Linked DNA regions of Nothobranchius furzeri. The protein of the gene in region 4 binds, or shares a complex with, the protein of the main gene of each other region. Links are inferred from orthologs where the notes say so. Each region holds a gene or a part of one and is shown on either strand. Other genes may lie near its edges.

The links. Proteins that work in one complex are often made in the same cells at the same time.
Region 1: E3 ubiquitin-protein ligase Hakai (region 4) and mettl14 share a complex: the UniProt entries of both Homo sapiens proteins name them as parts of the WMM complex. The link is inferred for Nothobranchius furzeri from reciprocal best matches to the Homo sapiens genes CBLL1 and METTL14.
Region 2: E3 ubiquitin-protein ligase Hakai (region 4) and rbm15b share a complex: the UniProt entries of both Homo sapiens proteins name them as parts of the WMM complex. The link is inferred for Nothobranchius furzeri from reciprocal best matches to the Homo sapiens genes CBLL1 and RBM15B.
Region 3: E3 ubiquitin-protein ligase Hakai (region 4) and wtap share a complex: the UniProt entries of both Homo sapiens proteins name them as parts of the WMM complex. The link is inferred for Nothobranchius furzeri from reciprocal best matches to the Homo sapiens genes CBLL1 and WTAP.

Annotation. Positions count from the first base shown.
Region 1 is NC_091746.1:78,155,272-78,159,401, forward strand, and holds the start of mettl14 (N(6)-adenosine-methyltransferase non-catalytic subunit METTL14), read left to right. Parts: upstream 1-1,328; 5' UTR 1,329-1,461; coding exon 1,462-1,527; intron 1,528-1,838; coding exon 1,839-1,927; intron 1,928-4,130. Other genes in the region: prss12 (neurotrypsin), read right to left, coding at 1-288. UniProt on the Homo sapiens protein: The METTL3-METTL14 heterodimer forms a N6-methyltransferase complex that methylates adenosine residues at the N(6) position of some mRNAs and regulates the circadian clock, differentiation of embryonic stem cells and cortical neurogenesis.
Region 2 is NC_091743.1:78,035,181-78,039,485, forward strand, and holds the start of rbm15b (putative RNA-binding protein 15B), read right to left. Parts: upstream 2,803-4,305; 5' UTR 2,567-2,802; coding exon 86-2,566; 3' UTR 1-85. UniProt on the Homo sapiens protein: RNA-binding protein that acts as a key regulator of N6-methyladenosine (m6A) methylation of RNAs, thereby regulating different processes, such as alternative splicing of mRNAs and X chromosome inactivation mediated by Xist RNA.
Region 3 is NC_091742.1:5,864,992-5,869,336, reverse strand, and holds the start of wtap (pre-mRNA-splicing regulator WTAP), read right to left. Parts: upstream 2,803-4,345; 5' UTR 2,616-2,802; intron 2,079-2,615; 5' UTR 2,071-2,078; coding exon 2,041-2,070; intron 1,935-2,040; coding exon 1,879-1,934; intron 1,804-1,878; coding exon 1,745-1,803; intron 1,585-1,744; coding exon 1,457-1,584; intron 1-1,456. Other genes in the region: sod2 (superoxide dismutase [Mn], mitochondrial), read left to right, coding at 3,567-3,697, 4,133-4,338. UniProt on the Homo sapiens protein: Associated component of the WMM complex, a complex that mediates N6-methyladenosine (m6A) methylation of RNAs, a modification that plays a role in the efficiency of mRNA splicing and RNA processing.
Region 4 is NC_091741.1:57,567,327-57,571,645, forward strand, and holds the start of E3 ubiquitin-protein ligase Hakai, read right to left. Parts: upstream 2,801-4,319; 5' UTR 2,682-2,800; coding exon 2,663-2,681; intron 2,624-2,662; exon of another isoform or gene 2,453-2,623; intron 1,921-2,452; coding exon 1,732-1,920; intron 591-1,731; coding exon 484-590; intron 242-483; coding exon 158-241; intron 81-157; coding exon 7-80; intron 1-6. UniProt on the Homo sapiens protein: E3 ubiquitin-protein ligase that mediates ubiquitination of several tyrosine-phosphorylated Src substrates, including CDH1, CTTN and DOK1. Targets CDH1 for endocytosis and degradation.

The DNA of each region.
Region 1 (4,130 bases), on a different chromosome or scaffold from region 4:
GTGGTTCCTAAAGAAGCACCAGGGACGAATCCTGCCGTCCGGGTTGCGGCAGTGGTTGTGTTCTCCTATCCCCCTGCTCGGATAGCGCTCACGGAACCCGGCCACCTCGGTCCAGTTCATACACCGGCTGCCGGACTCGGTGACATCAATAGCTCCCCGGTAGGAGCCGTCTCTCCCCTGGCTCCGGGCGCATTCGGTGGACGAGGGGATGAATGAAGGGACGCTGCTGGAAAAACAGCCGCTTGCGGTCAGAAGAGCGGCTACTGAAGCGAGAAACGTCGCCTTCATGTTCTGCGACCGTGAGCCGCTGATAACGGTGGCAATCCGTTTCACTCATCAGCTGTTTCCAGACATGCAGGCAGCCCCGGCGCTTTTCCCCGGGAGGGGAGAGAACCGAGAAGAAAAACGACGCAGATCGATGAAACTCTTTTTGCGTAGGCTGATGCGCTGGCAGCCCTTCCGAGAGGAGGAAACCAAATTACTGATTGATCCAAGATCCAGCCAAATGTCACGAACTAAAACGAACTCTACGCGGAGCCGTAATAAATATAACAAAAATTCCCCTAAACCAATTTAATATATGTGTTGGCTAATTACATTTTAGATAGACTATATTTCCCATTTCCCCTCAGTCAGGTTAGGAAATTTTGCTTTGAGAAAAAACGTTTGAAATGTTTTTGCACTGCTGTTAAAATGCTAAAAGGAGAAATTAAATTAAAATTAGGCTATTAGTTATCTGTATTGTTATTGTTGTTATTTAATCATTATATGCTTACTGCTAAAATTATTTCAATGCTATATTTTTATGTAGTACGGCTACAAAGCTGTGAATTTGCTTCTTGCACTAATTTCATTGTCCGTAAGCTTTTAAAGCTACTCGACTATTGATACTGTATTTAAATGCCAATAACACATTCCCTTCTTTTTATTGTGGTATCATGAGCTGTGAGAGAACGGGAAACAGTCGAATATAGCTGTTTGTTGGATTGCCTTTTCCAACTGTTCTCTGTGATTGGGTGATAAATTTGCTGACGCCAAACGTATGCGTCGGACAAGGCTCTTTCATCATCATCGAGTGACTGTAGGTTCAAATGCTTGTTAAATCTTGTAAACAGCGTACACCGAACCTTCTCTGGGTAACCGGAGTTATAGCCCTCAAATCGGTTTATTTAATTTTCTTTGTAGAATTTTATACATGTCTTCAAATTACACGTTATTTGAGTGTTTTATATGTAAACTTTGCAGTTTCAATGCATCGCCCTATATTTGTTAAAGACACACATCTACTGTGATTACTTGTACCGGTGTTCATAACGAGCGCACCCATCATCATTTCAGCGGCTATGTCGATTTAGCTAATGTTTAGCTAGGAGCTTGCTGCTTTCAGAAGTGAACGTAATCCGTATTTAGCAACGACCCGACGTTTAATATAAATACAGATCTACTGTCACAGAGGAGAACATGAACAGTAGGCTTCAAGAAATCCGCGAGAAACAAAAACTGAGACGGCAGATCTTGGCTCAACAGGCAAGTACACCATAGTTAACAGTTAGAAAGTGGCTAACCGCTAACGTCGCTTTGGTCATAACGGAGCTGCAGGGTGCTAAATGCTCACCATAACTTCACCGTCCCTAACTTGGCTGATGTATTAAATACTCGCCTTCCACCGAGCTAAAAGAAAACACCTTCATAGCAAATGTAAATAAGTGTAACCCAAGCTAGAGCCGACTTTATTTGTCGAATGAAATGTAGCAGCAATGCAAAAAAGGCGTTCACAAAGTTCCAGTCAAATGTTTGCTGATGTTGGTTTCTCTGTGTGTGTTTCTCTAAATGCGCAGCTGGGAGCTGAGAGCGCAGACAGTATCGGGGCTGTCCTTCACAGCAAAGATGAGCTCAAAGAGATAGAGGAGACAAGAGAAGCAAGCAGGTAAGGGTTGTTCCTCCTCACAGACAGGGCGGGATCGTCTGAGCTAGAAAAGGGCTGCGTTTGAATGAAATACGTAAATGCAACGTGTTTGCAGGCGCGTTGCAAACTTTTCAAAAGTGTGGGGGATGTTGTCTGTGGATGTCATCAGTTGTAAATTGAAACTCAACCTCAATCCAGTAAGGAGTTCGCGCATGATTCACAGTAACATAGTCCTTCCAAAAACATGCTTAATATTCACCAATGTATAAACTGCACACATGCAGAACGGGAAGAACTAATCTTCCAAACAACAGAACCCAAGTTTTCTTCATCAACAACACCCAATTCAACAATAAGCTGTTAAATCAAAAGGACGTAAAAATACACTAAATACACATTTAGAGAAAAACACACAGCAGCGACAATCCAATATCCTATCCACAGAATCCACTGTTTAAATTAAAGCCCAGACTTCTCTTTCCAACAATATTTATGCACTCTACATGCAAAATTCACAGAACCAGCAGCTAACAAACCACAGCTCATTTCATGACGTGAAAAGCGTAAATACAGTCTTACCTTTGTTGATTCATGGTCATAATCCATGTTATGGTAAAAACAATCCAATCCCTTTGTGTAATCCATCTTCACAACATCACACAAAGCTGATTCGTGGCTGTTTTAGCTTGCATCCATCTGATGCCAAATCCCAAAAATCTAGCCTAAAAAATCAAAAGCAAGCGATTCTATTGGCTCAGAGGTTTCCTAACTAACCTGAACGGCTTCAATAATCCAACGGCGGGGTCTGGAGAAACTCCTGAATAAACTGTGGTTCCAGCCCAGTCCACCAGCGCACAGGTGTACTCGGGTAGAGGCGGGGAGGTTTCGACAAACTTTATTTGTCACTGAATGTTAATAAAGCTGATTTTAAAGTTGGACCAAAAAAAAAACCTATTCCGTAGAAGGAGCGTTCAACTATTCCTTTTACAAGTGGCACACTGTGGCATTTGAGACCTCGCTTTAAGTGTGCATATATTATAAACCTCTGAAAATTGTTGTTCTTCACTTTATCAAACTCAGACTTTGTACAGCTAATGTCAAGATGTAAAATTATGAATTCAGTGAAATTTAAAACTACTGATGCATTTTTCAAAAGAGGTATTCATCCTGAAATCAAACATTTCGGGCAAAATAAGCAAAAGAAAAATAATCAACTTTTTTACAATGTTCCTTGTCTATTTACACTTCATCAGCAACACTTATTCTAATATTCACACATCTGAACAAATCCCACAAGAATTCCTTTTATAATGAGACCAAAAGTAATGAAAAAGACCTTGTGGTTACAGGAATATAGCCATTAAAGTGTGGGCATGTTATTTGTTTTTATTTCAACAATGCCATCAAATGGTTTGTGTTACATTGACTTACTGTTTTATAAGAACATATTATGAATGTAACATTAAACACAGTAGTCAAAAGTAGAGAATGGTGGTGGTGATTATGAATATCAGGACACTAATAAACAATATTACAAGACATTAAAAGTCAAATCAGTAACACTTTAGGAAACACAACTTAATCATTAACCAGGGGTTAACTAACATGCAAATGATACAGTCTGATTTATGAATTACTAATGATAACAAATTTGTGAATGACCTGAGTACATTACACATGTCCAAAAATTAAAACTTATTGTGTTATTTCCTCCAGTTTGAACCATAAAATTAGATACAGCTCAAGGTATGACCTATAAAGTACATTCTTTGGATTCAAAACCAAAACAACAGGGGAGGTAAGATTCAGCAAATACTTCGCAGAAGTGAAAACCTGCTTCATATGAACTGTGGTAACTGAGTAGGTGAGATAAAACTGTATTATTTTTAAAAAGCATCTCCACAGCTGTAATCATCACACTGGATGAATCCAAAAGCAAGACATCCAACACTTAACAGCAATTCAAGCTATTTTCAAGAACAATCTGTGTAACATCTTTGAGCTAGACCAGCGGTTCCCAAACTTATTTAGCTGCGCACCCCCCAGCCCCCCACATCCATCTTTTCCCCTATAGACATTTGATTATGCACAAGTAGGTGACCAGTTCAGGTTTACGCAGAGCAGAAGGAAGGAGAGCGCTCTGGCCACAGGTTAAACGTTCCTACTTTAAGAAAACCATTAAATTGCATTGTTGATGTGCTACCTGGGTACTCTAAATATTTAT
Region 2 (4,305 bases), on a different chromosome or scaffold from region 4:
CAGGGAGAAGCGGAGTGACGTGTGTAGTGTGGCTGGAATCCAGAATCCTAAAAGGTTTCAAACCAGGAAGTGTTGGTTCTGTACATCAGTTAGTGTCGTTAACGATCACGATCACCATGTGCTCCTCCTCCAGATTACCCACAGTCCTCTTGGCTGTCTGCAGAAACTGCTGAGAGAACTCTCCTGGGGGGAAGGCATAGAGCATGGCGCCCGGCCCACCCTCCTTGGCACTGGGCAGGCTCACCACACCGGCCGCCTCTTTGTTCCGCAGGTACGTCACCAGGTGGCGCAGCAGGCGCACCTGCAATCCTGGCTCCAGACCCGGGGTCTGGCGGTCCACAGGGCCCTGCAGAGCCAGCAGGATGGCAAAGCCATTGGGGCGGCCCACCTTGATGCGGCGCGAAACCTCGTCGAGCCGGGCCTGGTCCATGCGCAGCCGCTGAGCGATCTTTAACTGGCTCAGCTGATTCTTGCTCGGCTGCTTCAGGCTGTCCTTCATCACAGTGTTGAAGAAGGACACGCCCCCCTCCAGCAGGAACAGGTCTGTAGGAAAGCTGCTGTTCTTCAGGGTGAACAAGCCTCTCCACATCCTGGAGAGCATGCTCTGGGCAAACTCCAACAGCGTGCCGGGGGGTGAGGAGGCGTCTGTGTGGGCTGCAGGAGAAGCCGAGGCATTGGCCTCACTGTTCCGATGGTGGTGGTTGTTCAGCTGTTCGCTGGAGGCCCTCTTGCTGTGATGGTGGCTGGAGGGAGGCTCTTCTTCGTTGGTGGACTGCCTTCCAGCTCCTCCGTTGTCAGGGGAATGGTCTCGGGGTTCTGTGGTGGAGTCGGGAGCTCGGACCCGAGCTCGGTCCGGACTCGCTTCAGGAGAGACGGCTCCACCAACACCACGAACCCTTGACCTCCCCACCTCCTTCTCCTCCGTCTGCCTTTCTGCTGACAGACTACTGCTCCTCCTCCTGTTCCTCCTCTCCTCCCTCTCCTTCAGCCAACGTTCCCTGCTCTTGCTACGACTCCTTGCTGCTCTCCCACTCCTCCCAAACGCCTCCACCCCTCCGGACCTCCTCTCCAAGCTGCGGGTGGGGCTGCTGGGAAAGTCTCTCTCCAGCAGGGCCCTCTCCCTCAGGGAGAGCAGGCTGTGAGCAGGGGGAGAACGCTCCCTGGCCCCCCGTAGCTCCTGTTCAAGGCTGCGATGGCGGCTGTATGCCTCTCCAAGAAGGTCATAGTGGGAAGGGAGTGTAACGGGCGTCTGGTAACCAGGAGGAAATGGGCGCGACGGGCTCTCCTCCACCTTAGCAAAGTCCACCCTGAGCCGGTGCTCTGGGCCCCCCAGAGGGAAGCCCCTCATCTGGGTGCAGGCGGCCTGAGCTGCATCCAGACTCTCGTACTGGATGTAGGCAAAGCTGTCCCCCTTCACGTAGTCAATGTTCCGTATGCTGCCAAAGCGATCAAACTCTCGAGCCAGGGCAGCCAGTGGGTTCCCGGGCCCCAGCCCCCCCACCCAGAGGCGGGTGGTGGGGTTGGCTTTGCCGTAACCGATCTTTATGGGGTTCCCACCCATCAGCCGGCCCTGCATGGCCACTTTGGCACGGTGGGCCATGTCCAGGTTCTGAAACTTCACAAACGCATAAGCCCCGCCCTGTCCACGTGCCGGGCGTTTGATCACCACTTCCTCAATGATGCCATATTTATCAAACCCCCTCCGGAGCTCAGCTTCCGTCACGTTCCCATCCAGGTTACCGATGAACAGGTTACTGGTCGCCCGCTGGTCATCCTCCGGCTTCAAGTCCTCCACCACTGGCATGGGGGGCAGGCCGTAGGGCCGCCCCCTCTCATCCAGCATCCCATAGTAGTCCAGCAGCCGGTCCCGGTCTCTGCTCAGACCCAGGGTCTCCAGGGCGTAGTGTCTGGCTCTCAGTTCCCGGAGGTTGCTGACCCCGGGGACAGGGGGGGACAGGGAGCGCTGCCTGTACGGATAGGGGGCGTGGAGGGGTAAATAACCCACGTCCGGTGGGGTGACACTCCGCCTCCGTACGTACATGGGCTCTATCTTCAGCTGGCGCTCTCCCAGAACCAACCTGGAGGATTTGGCGTGCCTGGCCTCCTTGGCATCCTCCGGGTGTCTGAAGTTAACGTAGGCGATCCGGCCAAGCTCCGGTGTGTGCGACAGCTTCACGCTCACATCCCCGAACTTTTTAAATTCGTGAAACAGCGAGTCCTCCACGTCCTCGTCCGACACCTGCGAGCCCAGGTTACTGATGAGCAGCGTTTTATACTCCAGCGTGCCCGGCCGGGGGGCGGGGAGCTCTGCTGCCGAGGTGCGGAGCGGTGGACGGCCGAGGAGGCTGAGCTCATGTCGGTGGTGGAGCTCCAGGGCGGCCGCCCTCTCCTCCCTGAGCCGCGGCTTCTCGCGTTCCCGGCTCCGGCGGCGGTAGCTCCTGCTCTCCGCCAGTAAAAGCGCCAGCGGCGGCGGGGGCAGCTCCTCTCTGCGGCTGCTCTCCCGCTCCCGTGTCCGTTTAGCGATGGCCCTGGACGGACTGCTCTCCCTGCCGGCCTGCCGCTTCATTTTCTCTGGAGGACGGATCGGAAACTTTTCGGTGTCCGCAGCGGGATTCCGGGAGCGTTAGCGGGAGCGAGGCTACGGAGGACGGGCTCAGGGGGAAACGCGGTTCCACGGCATCCGCTGACGTTCGGCTCATTTACGGATAAAAACCAGAAAAGGTTTAAAAACAAAAACTGCATCAGTGGAGCTTCAGCAGCGCCGCCATCTTGGACAATAGGAATGTGCGCGTTCCCCGAGGACGGAGAACTCGATGACGCAAGCACGTCGCGCGTTACCGTCGCTTCACGTTTAAATCTTTATTTGTTTACATAAATAAGTTTATTATTGAAATGATGGAGAATATGCCCACATCATTTAGTCCTGATCTAGAATCCAGAAGTCCCAATCCAGCGCAAATCTCTTGTTAAATTGGTTTAGATGGAATATTCCTGGGACCAAAACATTTCCAGAGACGTTTTTTTTAACTCTGACCTCTTAACAGTAGAAAAATGTTCCTAACTCAAGGGATGAGACAGAGTGGTGGTATCACCCACAGGACGTTAGGCGGCGTTCTTTTGGTTTAAAGGAATTTCTCAGAGAAGGAAAATATTTTTGCCACAAAATGAATTAGACGTAGATGGATTAATTCAGATTAACAATGGATTTGTGAGATTGATGTGGTCATCATGCCTCTGAGGTTTATTACTGAGGACCACTCCAGTGTCCAGTGGGACAGTCTTCTTTATCCACCAGGAGGTTGGAACATTGGTACACCTTCATTTATAAAGCAATGCTTGGATTACTACCCACCTACATCTGTAACTTAATCTCAAGAAGTGTAAGTCCTCAGTCTGGAAGAAGACGATCAGCTGTTACTTTGTGTTCTGTTTGCTCGCACCAATCTGGGCTAAAGGTCTTTTGTTCACTCTGCTCCTTCTGCATGGAACAGGCTGCAGGAAAACTGGGAATTAGTTTTTTTTCTCCTTGACTACATTTAAAACCAGACTGAGAACCCTTGAGAGGATTCTGTGTTGTAACTGCCTTCTGTAATCTAGTGCATAACATGTCTGTGGAGCTGAAACAACTTCTGCTGCCTCTGGGCCAGGACTGCCTTGGAAATGAGGTTTTTCATCTCAATGGGACCTTCCTGGTTAGATGAAGAATAAATCTGTTACTAACATCTAGATTTGGTCTAAAAAGATGTTCTGAGGAAATCCAAAGTTAATCTTGGATTAAGATTGGATGGAATTCTAGATTTCTCCTCTTCTGGGCAGAATGACAGGAAGGACCAGGGATCAGGTCTGAGCCGGACCTCCAGCCTCTCGGGACGATCCATACAAGCACCAGGGTTCTGGGCAAAGCTCGGTTCTCACAGAGGTGTACCCGAAATCCATCTACTGTTCCAAACCAATCCTAAACTTTCTAATCTGTCGGTGAATGCAGTGTCCTAACAAATAAAACCACTAACAGTTAATCCACATTAGCCAATCCCCATGAGGATCAGGGTTTCATCCTAGATCGGTATCGGCCCGGAGTCAAACCAACCCAAACAAACATCTCAGTTGAGTTTTCACATTTTAATGCAAAAGTAGAATTTACAGTTTTAACAGAAACACAAGTCCCACATTCATGATGGTGTTTGATCCATCAGACGGATGAGGAGTCCCTCAGAAACACGACTCTGTATTTTATCGCCTGTTGGCGAAGCTGCTACAGGACTCAGATGGGTTCAGAGTACATGACATAAGTCTGAAAACATCTGT
Region 3 (4,345 bases), on a different chromosome or scaffold from region 4:
ACTTTGCACCGGTTCTGCCTTTGCGTCTTTGCCGGTTCCTTTCCTCCACTGCATCCAGATGACCACGTCGTGCGCCAGTAAAAAGCATTTTTCTTACAAGTAACTTACTTTTGTTCAATAAAGTTCAGGGGAAAATGGTAATTCAAAGATGTTGCACCCGTGTTACATTTACAAATAGACAGACACGCAGACAGTGTTTTTCATCGCACTGTACAGCCCTGCTCTGATATGGAAGAGCCTGGGGGAAAATCAGGACGTCAATAGCACCGACCACAGATATGTAACTAGAGAGAAAAGCAATTTTTGATCTTTGTCTGCTGCGGTTTTAGTGCTTTTTTGTGCACCGCTGCTGATACAGCGCCCCGTAGTGGTGCAATGCTGCAACTGCAGTTAAAATAACATCCATATAGCTGGGGGCAGAGTGAAATCAGGCTGGGGCGGCACAAATTAGCTGGAGGAGGCCACCAGGCAAATTTGAATGCAGGAAAAACCCTGGTACAGCTAGGGACATGAACGTTGCCAACCCACACACATCTTTTCAATTTTGTATTATCAAATGTATTGATATGGGAACATTTATCACGATAAGTCAGAAATTTCGATAACGATACATTTTCGGTTTATTGCCCAGCCCTACACGATATGCCAAAAGGCACAACTAATATGGCTTAAGCAACAAAAGTAGCAGCATCTGACTGAACCTAATCCTTATTTTTGGCTTTTAAATGAAAGAAAAGGTGTGCTGAGGTGAGCTCTGCTGCTCTTTAAGGCAGATGAGCCCCCATAAAGCCACTGAACACTCTGTACCATCAGTCTAAAGCCAACGGCTGACCTTAACTACTTGTTGGCCCAGTGTGAATGAATGTGAATGGCCATAACAGTATCCCTGTTTACGACCGGTTCTGTTGACAGAAAACAGCACGTTTGTTTATAACAGCTGCTGCTCTGCAAATGCTGCTGCTTGTTTTAAGATCCTTTTACGTCACAAACTTAGAAAAATATCATGTATGTGTAAATGACACCATGCAACATTTACTTCTATTAGTATTTTAATCTCAATCAAAGATCATATTGCACTTATAAGCAGTGTTTTATGGCTAAGAAGCTCTGATCTTGTGTAAATACATAAAACATCGACTACAGCTGCCACACTGACAGATGTTAGCACTCATTTTGATGTTTGCCATTTTAAATAAGGCATCTGTTCAAAACATCACTATAAAACATTACATTTGGTATTAATCTATTGTCATTAGTGAACGTTTGACTTCTGTGACCTAACCTAATGATAAGTAAAATTCAACATCGCCTTTTTATACAGTATTACAAAAAGGAGAGTCGACATCCATCAGAGAGAAAATAAATCAATCACCCAACAAGGAGCTTCCTACAGATCAACGGGGAGCAACATTCGACCAAAGCAAAACAGTGAATTCAGTGGCAAACAGATACGTACTGTACACTCTTGCATTTCCTGCTCCTTTGTGGCAAGTCGCATGACCAGGATGTTCTCCCTGCGAGCAGACTCTTGCTGCTGCTGCTTGAGCTTTTCCTCCGACTCCTTCAGTCCTGGAACATCGTTCGCTGAAGGGATGAGATGAAAAAACATCACAGATTAGTCCTCTTCACAGACAGCCAAAGGTTAGGCAATGCACTCATTGTAGCATTTATAGCTGACTGTTGAAACGGCTAAATAAACTAAACTCAACATGATGCTGGATTGCATTTACGAAACTGCACTTACAACACAGCTCTGCATATTTGGCCTCGAGGACCTGCACGTACGTTTCATGCTGTTTCCACCTGAAACGAGAAAAGAAGGTTTAACATTTTTAGATGAACACGTGATTTTACAGCAATCGCAGCGTGAACACCCACCTGGTACACAGCTCTTCTCTAGTCAGGGTCTTCATGTCCGACTCACTCAGGCGAACCTGTGAAAACAGAAAAACTGGTCAATGAGGCCGGCTGCTATTTGGAGACAACCAAAGGCTAAATGAACATAGTTCAAATAGGAGATGAACAGGATCAGACGCTAACCTTCTTGGGTAGAGGTTCCTCGTTGGTCATTTTGAACTCTAGAAGAAAATATGACAAGAAATCATCAGTTACTGCTGCTTAAATTGCAGGTTGAATTAACTGCATCATCTTTTCAGCTAAAGCGTTAGTTCTCCGCACGCAGTCTAGTCACGACTAGCACACAAGCTAAATTACGTGCGTTTTGGTTTCTGAAGAAAGAACACCGCATATTTTATGGCAAAGAGTTGACTCATTGGTCGATAACATAAGATTTAACATAACCAGTTGATAAGCGCTGTACAGCTAAATGTCGGGACATTGTGGCAGCTAGCAGAGCGAAGAAGCTAACCAAGGTGAACTACTGACCACTAATATTTAGCACTCCTTTGCAATGGTAAATTGAACTCATAGTTACAAAGTAACGTTTAAATATAATTTAAATTCAAATGGGTGGCACTTAATTATTTGCTCTGTTTCGGCTCCTTGTTATAACAAAATGGCGGTGAAGGAAACGACTCCCTCCCTTGCGCTCCTTTTCCTGAAACTAGCGGGCTCTTGGCTGCAGTTACCAGGCCTGACGCCACAAAAACACTCACCTGGCCCTGAATCTTCGATGTTTCTCAGAACTGTCGGCTTCAGAAATTCCTTGTGAGGATAACAATCACATAAACGGTCAAATATTCAGAGAAATGACAAGTAACGGTATCGTTTGGGCTTAGTCGCAATCATCTTTCTTTAGCTGACGGCAGTGTGGAATAGCTACGGACGAAAATGCTGCGGAGTAATACCAGAGAGCTAAAAACAGAGAGAAGACGCCTCACTCGTAAAATAATTTCTGAAACTCGAGCAGGGCCACGACACAAGGGATATTTTCAACGTTTTATTTATATAATTTACTATAGTTAATGTTTGATTATGCGTGGTACAACTTTTTAGAGTCAATCGACCAAAATAATTGATAACATCTGTCTAAATAGAATAAATAAATAAACAAAAAATGTTATTTGTTAATTAAGTTAAAATTATTCAAATATAGGTGACCTAGCAGAAACGCATATTTCTAAAATAACTGGTTCAGGCAAAACATGTTTGCTTTGAGTCATTGATTAAATTGGATGAAGACTTTTTTTTAAAAAAAAAAGAACATTTCTAAAGAGTGGGACATCTTAACAAAGTAGACAATCTTCACGTCACGATTAAAAAAGAGGGTCACGTGCCTCGTGGTCTTCTAAACATTTCTTTATTTTGATTACTCTCGTGTTTCAAAATTTCGTTAAACATTTTGACGACACAAATCCAAGTCTTACACTTGTTTACTAATTTATAATAAAAAGAAAAATAACGAGCTAAGGCCCTGAAGACCATGTGCAGCGTAATAGGGAAACGCATTTCAAAAACAAAATGACATGGTTACTCATAAAAAATGCCACAAGTTAAAGGTTTATTGACAAACACGGCAAACCAATGTTTCGACGAAGTCCAACTTTCAGCGTCCGCAACATTACAGAAATCATGCAAACGCTTCCAAACACCCCCATCGTATAATAATGATGGTGCAGTCTGTCAACTTGAAATGGCTCAGTTTCAAGGGCAGTTATTTACTAGCGCGTGCACACGGTTCTGGTTACCTGCTGAGGTCCATTCGAAACATGCTGAGCAGACTTGGGCAAATACGCAGGTAAAACGGATGTTCGCGTAACATTAGGGCATATATAAAGTTGTTGAAAACAGGCAGAGTGAGCTGTTGCGTGCTGTAATCGAGTATGATCTTCAAACATCAGGAGCTAACAGTTTGCTAGCCAGGATGCTAACTTAGTTTAGCAAGCTGTTTACATTAGTTTATGGCGCACCAAATAGTTTAGATTACTTCCGTCATTATTTTATGCCTAGGGTTGAATGCAGTTGCAAACTTAAAGTGTCAAAACGAATGCACAAAATTACACACGAGCCTATGTTAAAAGTACATTTAGTTAATGGTTTCGGCTGTGTAAATCCTGAATAAACACTAAAGTCAGTCGCTTGCAGCCATCTTGAATTGCTGTTTAGTTGTATCCGGTGATTGATGCACAATTGGATCGTGATTTATTACAATTCTCCTCTTTGTTAATTTCAGGTGCGCAGCCAGCCTCAGCCAAAGCATTAACCAGATAGCTGCATCAAGGCAGAAGCACACCCTTCCTGACCTGACCTATGATTATGGAGCCCTGGAGCCTCACATCTGTGCAGAGATAATGCAGCTGCACCACAGCAAACATCATGCTACCTATGTCAATAACCTCAATGTTACAGAGGAGAAGTATCAAGAGGCTCTTGCAAAGGGTACATA
Region 4 (4,319 bases):
TCTCACCCTGGACACATCTTTTCTCCTTTCTTCTCATGCAGCAAAGCGCAGTCGTAACAGAAAACATGTTTGCATGGGATCTGAGGAGAGGGAGAGTCTCAGTCCAGAAAATGATTCAAAACCAACCAAAGGGAGCAAGCAAGAACAAAGTACATACCATCCGTCCATACAGCTGAATAGGGAGGCCACATTTGTCACAGAAATGAATTGGTACTTCATCCCGTTCACCAATTAAATGTAACTGTAGGGAAAGCAAATGGGTGGAATTATGGGTATCTGTCACTCAGACATACTCAAATCCAGTCACAAAGCTTTTATAGTCAAAGCAAAACAACAGTGTACACTAACCCAAGGTCAATGGACAGCTTTATTATATATATATATATATATATATATATATATATATATATATATATATATATATATATATAAAACAGAAAGTCACTATAATAAGATGATGTCAGCAAACCCACACTGACGTACCTTATAGTCCCAAAATAGGGGTTGTGGAAATCTCCGCTGGCTTGCAAACACATCGCCAGCTTTGGTGCCACAATCAAACCTTTCCTCTTGCTTAAAGTTGAATTTATCTACAAAATATGAGAAAATAAGTATTATTGTAAAACTGAAAAGAGAAAGTCAATAAAACCCTGATTAATAAAAGCAGATTTTGTTGTTTAGAACTCAATTAGTCAACTGATAGAGCTGGGGCAAAATGTTTCAGATTGAAATTTTCAAATTGCAGTATTGTGGGATTGTGTAAGTGTGCAGTACTCGATGTTTAAGGAATGTGCTATGTGTATTATGTACAATGCATAATCAAAGGTCATCTGTTAAGAGTAGTATGTAATGTGGAGATTAGTATGGTTCTGTGTAGTTTTTCCTTTTTTCAGTTATACTAACCGAAGTGCAACTTTTTTGACCTAATGACAAATTTCCCAATTGAGACAATAAAGTATATTCTAATGAATAATGGTTAATTCTATAAGTTAATATACAGCAAAATCTGTCTCACCCTCAGAAGAAGGGTTTTGGTCAGGTTCAACAAAACAATGTTTATGATTACTAACTGAGGTGTATAAATCAGTTTATTTTAAAAGCATCTGTCTAAATAGTTATTTTTAAGGCTCTGCATTGGAGCAAATGACTGATTAGTGGATTCTGCTGGGAGCACAGTCCAGCCAGAATTGTGCAGTTCCTGCAGCACAGAATCAACATGAACCATAAAAAGATTCAACCTCCAAATTAAAATTCTACAGAAAATGTTGTGACTATAACCCCGATCAGTTTACTTTTTAAAAGTTTAAAGAGCAAGTCACCCCCTACCAGAGTATTACTCCACTCCCACTTCTGATTTGAAAAATGCAACAAATGTTGTTGCCTAGCAGACTGAGAGGGCGGAGCTGCTAACAAATACACACACACACACACACACACACACACACACACACACACACACACACACACACACACACACGCTCACAACGACATTGTGACATCATATGGTACCAGCTAACGTTGTAGGATACCTCTTAGCCAATAGCGATGGCAGATTTAAATTCAAATGCAGTGCAGAGTTTTTACCTGACAACGGCACAACACTGACAGTTTTAGTCAGAAAATTAAAATTTTAACTAAAATGCACTAAAGTGCCAAACTATTGACTACACATGTCTGCAGCACAATTTATATAGTTTATCACACAAAAAGGTTGATTTGGGGGTGACTTGCTTTTTAATGTGCTCGGTAGCGTACCATCTTCCCCAGGTTCACTTTTGCAGGGCCTGGTGCCAGGCCTCTGCATCCGCTGCTGGGGCTTATTCCTCAAGGGCTGCTTGGAAATGAGCTTGATGGGGATTCGTCTGCGAACATCCAGTCCACCCAAACTTCCCGAACCATCGCTCCCTTGAAGATCACCGTCTGTACACACCGAATGCACAACCCAAAAAATAAAAACAAAAAACTGATAGCATCACACCATTAAGCACAATTATATTACATCTGCGTTCCAAAAGTTATGTAAATCTTTATTTGAAATGTACCCGACTGATGAGTTAAATAAGCAAACGTTTCTGTTCTTGTTCAAACTACTTTTTGGCGTGTTAATGTTTGGCATTTCTGCCTGCTGATGTGTCGGAACACTTTCCCTCATGTAATCAAAGTATAAATCTAACGGTTTGAAGAATAATGCTTATTATCTGTGACGTAAGTTTATCAAGAAAGTGTTTTTTATGGTAAAGAAAGGAGAAAATTCTCAAAACGAAGGCACATAAAAGGCGACAGATTGAAACGTTGACATATTTAAGAAATATTCCGAAAGAACACCAGGCTATTTTTATCCAACCGAAATTCAGTTTACCCTGATCTTTACTTGTGAGAATACTAAACACAAAGAAGGTCTCGGACATCAATAAATAATCTGAGGACGAGCAACAAAAACGAAGTTACAAACCGTTAGCCAAAGAATTAGCTAAGCGCTAAAACAGGGTAAGGTAGGCTGTACAACGCTATCGCTGGATTTACACCTAAAATCAAACTAATCACATTCGGCACAGGAACCGAACACACCTCCAGTTAACGTTACAACTAACTATTCCAACTGACTTAGAACTTAAGGGTTAAATGGTGAACTGACGTCCTTTAGCACAAATCCACAGCTAACCTAAACCGTAACGGAGCATTTCAGAGGCACCAAGCTCCAACAGCAAAGCCGGATTCCTGGAAGGTTGTTCGTAATAATTTAAAGAACTACTAGAGCAGCAACTCTGGCGGCAAAACGAAAAAATAAGCCACAAAAACAAACTTTGACAACAGAGGGCCTACTTAGCGTTTAGCTCACCACTTTGGTCCATGATCCAACCGGATCCAACGAGTGAGCGCAATGCATTGTGGGTGGCCGGGGGGGGGGGGGGGGTCCCTTGAATTCTGTAAAGATGATATTTATAAACATACAATATTAAGTAATTCGTTCATTAAAATAAAACCACTTTTCTGATCTTTGTAGTATAAACTGAGCAGTTAACTTCGCATGCATAAATAAAAAAAAACTAACACTCTGTAAAAGTGTCAAAATTGTTGCACTTCTAAATGAAGTAAATGCATTTTAAACTTTTCAGAACAGCATTTAAGCTAGTAGTCTAATATTTTGGTATTGGCATTTTTAATTTAATCAGATTATATGCATCTTCATTCATATCACCTTTAATTTCAAGTTAAACTGGTGTTTTTAAAATCTCTTATTTCTGACATATATCGCATAACGTCTCGATAATTTTGACTTCATGTGTTTGTTGCGTTACTGCATAATGAGTTTGTCTCATAATTTAGATCTTGTTTTAATTTGAGCGTCGTTTTGTCGCATACATTTGCACAATTCCCACAAGCGCTGTTAATGTACCATTTTTAAAAGTAAGAGACAATTAAACGAGTCAGAAATTACATAATTTACAATTAAGATGCTTGAACCCCATGTGAGTGAGCTCTGATGTTTTGCGAAGCAGTGAAGCTGATGCTCGTCCCCGTGTGCCGCGCGCTCTCATCGTACAATGTCGCCATTTTGATTCGAAATTTATGACTGAGTTTTTCTTGCTTTGCATGTTAAACTTAGCCCCGCGTTTGAATTACTTAATGCGTGAGTACAAACCATGCCCTGTCTATCAGAAAGGACACGTATCGCTTTTTATTTTTAGAGGAAATTAACGTATGGACCTTGCGTATTTAACAGTTTTGCAGCCACATCTGACTAACGTTAGCGAAGTTGAGCTAGCTTACGTTAGCCCGTGCTTCTTCAAAACAAATCACTCACAGGCTAACGGATGTTAGCTAAGCTACCACGGCAAGCTACGTTAGCTACATCGACCTAATAGCTGGCTCTTGACTATAAAACCCACAAATATCCAACAGAAAAGGAAGCAACAGCGGCGGACTTTCCATCAAAGGTTAGTTTTTGTCTTAAAATAATCAGTCTTTTTAAGCAACTTGCACATTTTAACTCTACTGTTCCAACGACGAAGTTATACCTAAGTTAGTGACCTGTTCAAGTTTGCTTTTGGCTCTACACTAGTCAACTGTCGTCAGCTAATTAGCTCTAATGCTAATAAGAAGAAGGGAGGAACTAGTTTACATTTGCTAAATTATTACTGAGTTTACAGTTGAACATCTGTGGTCGAGTTCTCCCAAGAAGTGAATGTTAGCCAAATGGGTTTGTTTGCACAATTGTTTAGGTCTAAAGATTACTCGACGCCAGTGTTACCTAACGTAGTAGCTACATTGACTTCACTAAATGTTTTGACGCGCATCTAAAACACGTTGATGGTGGC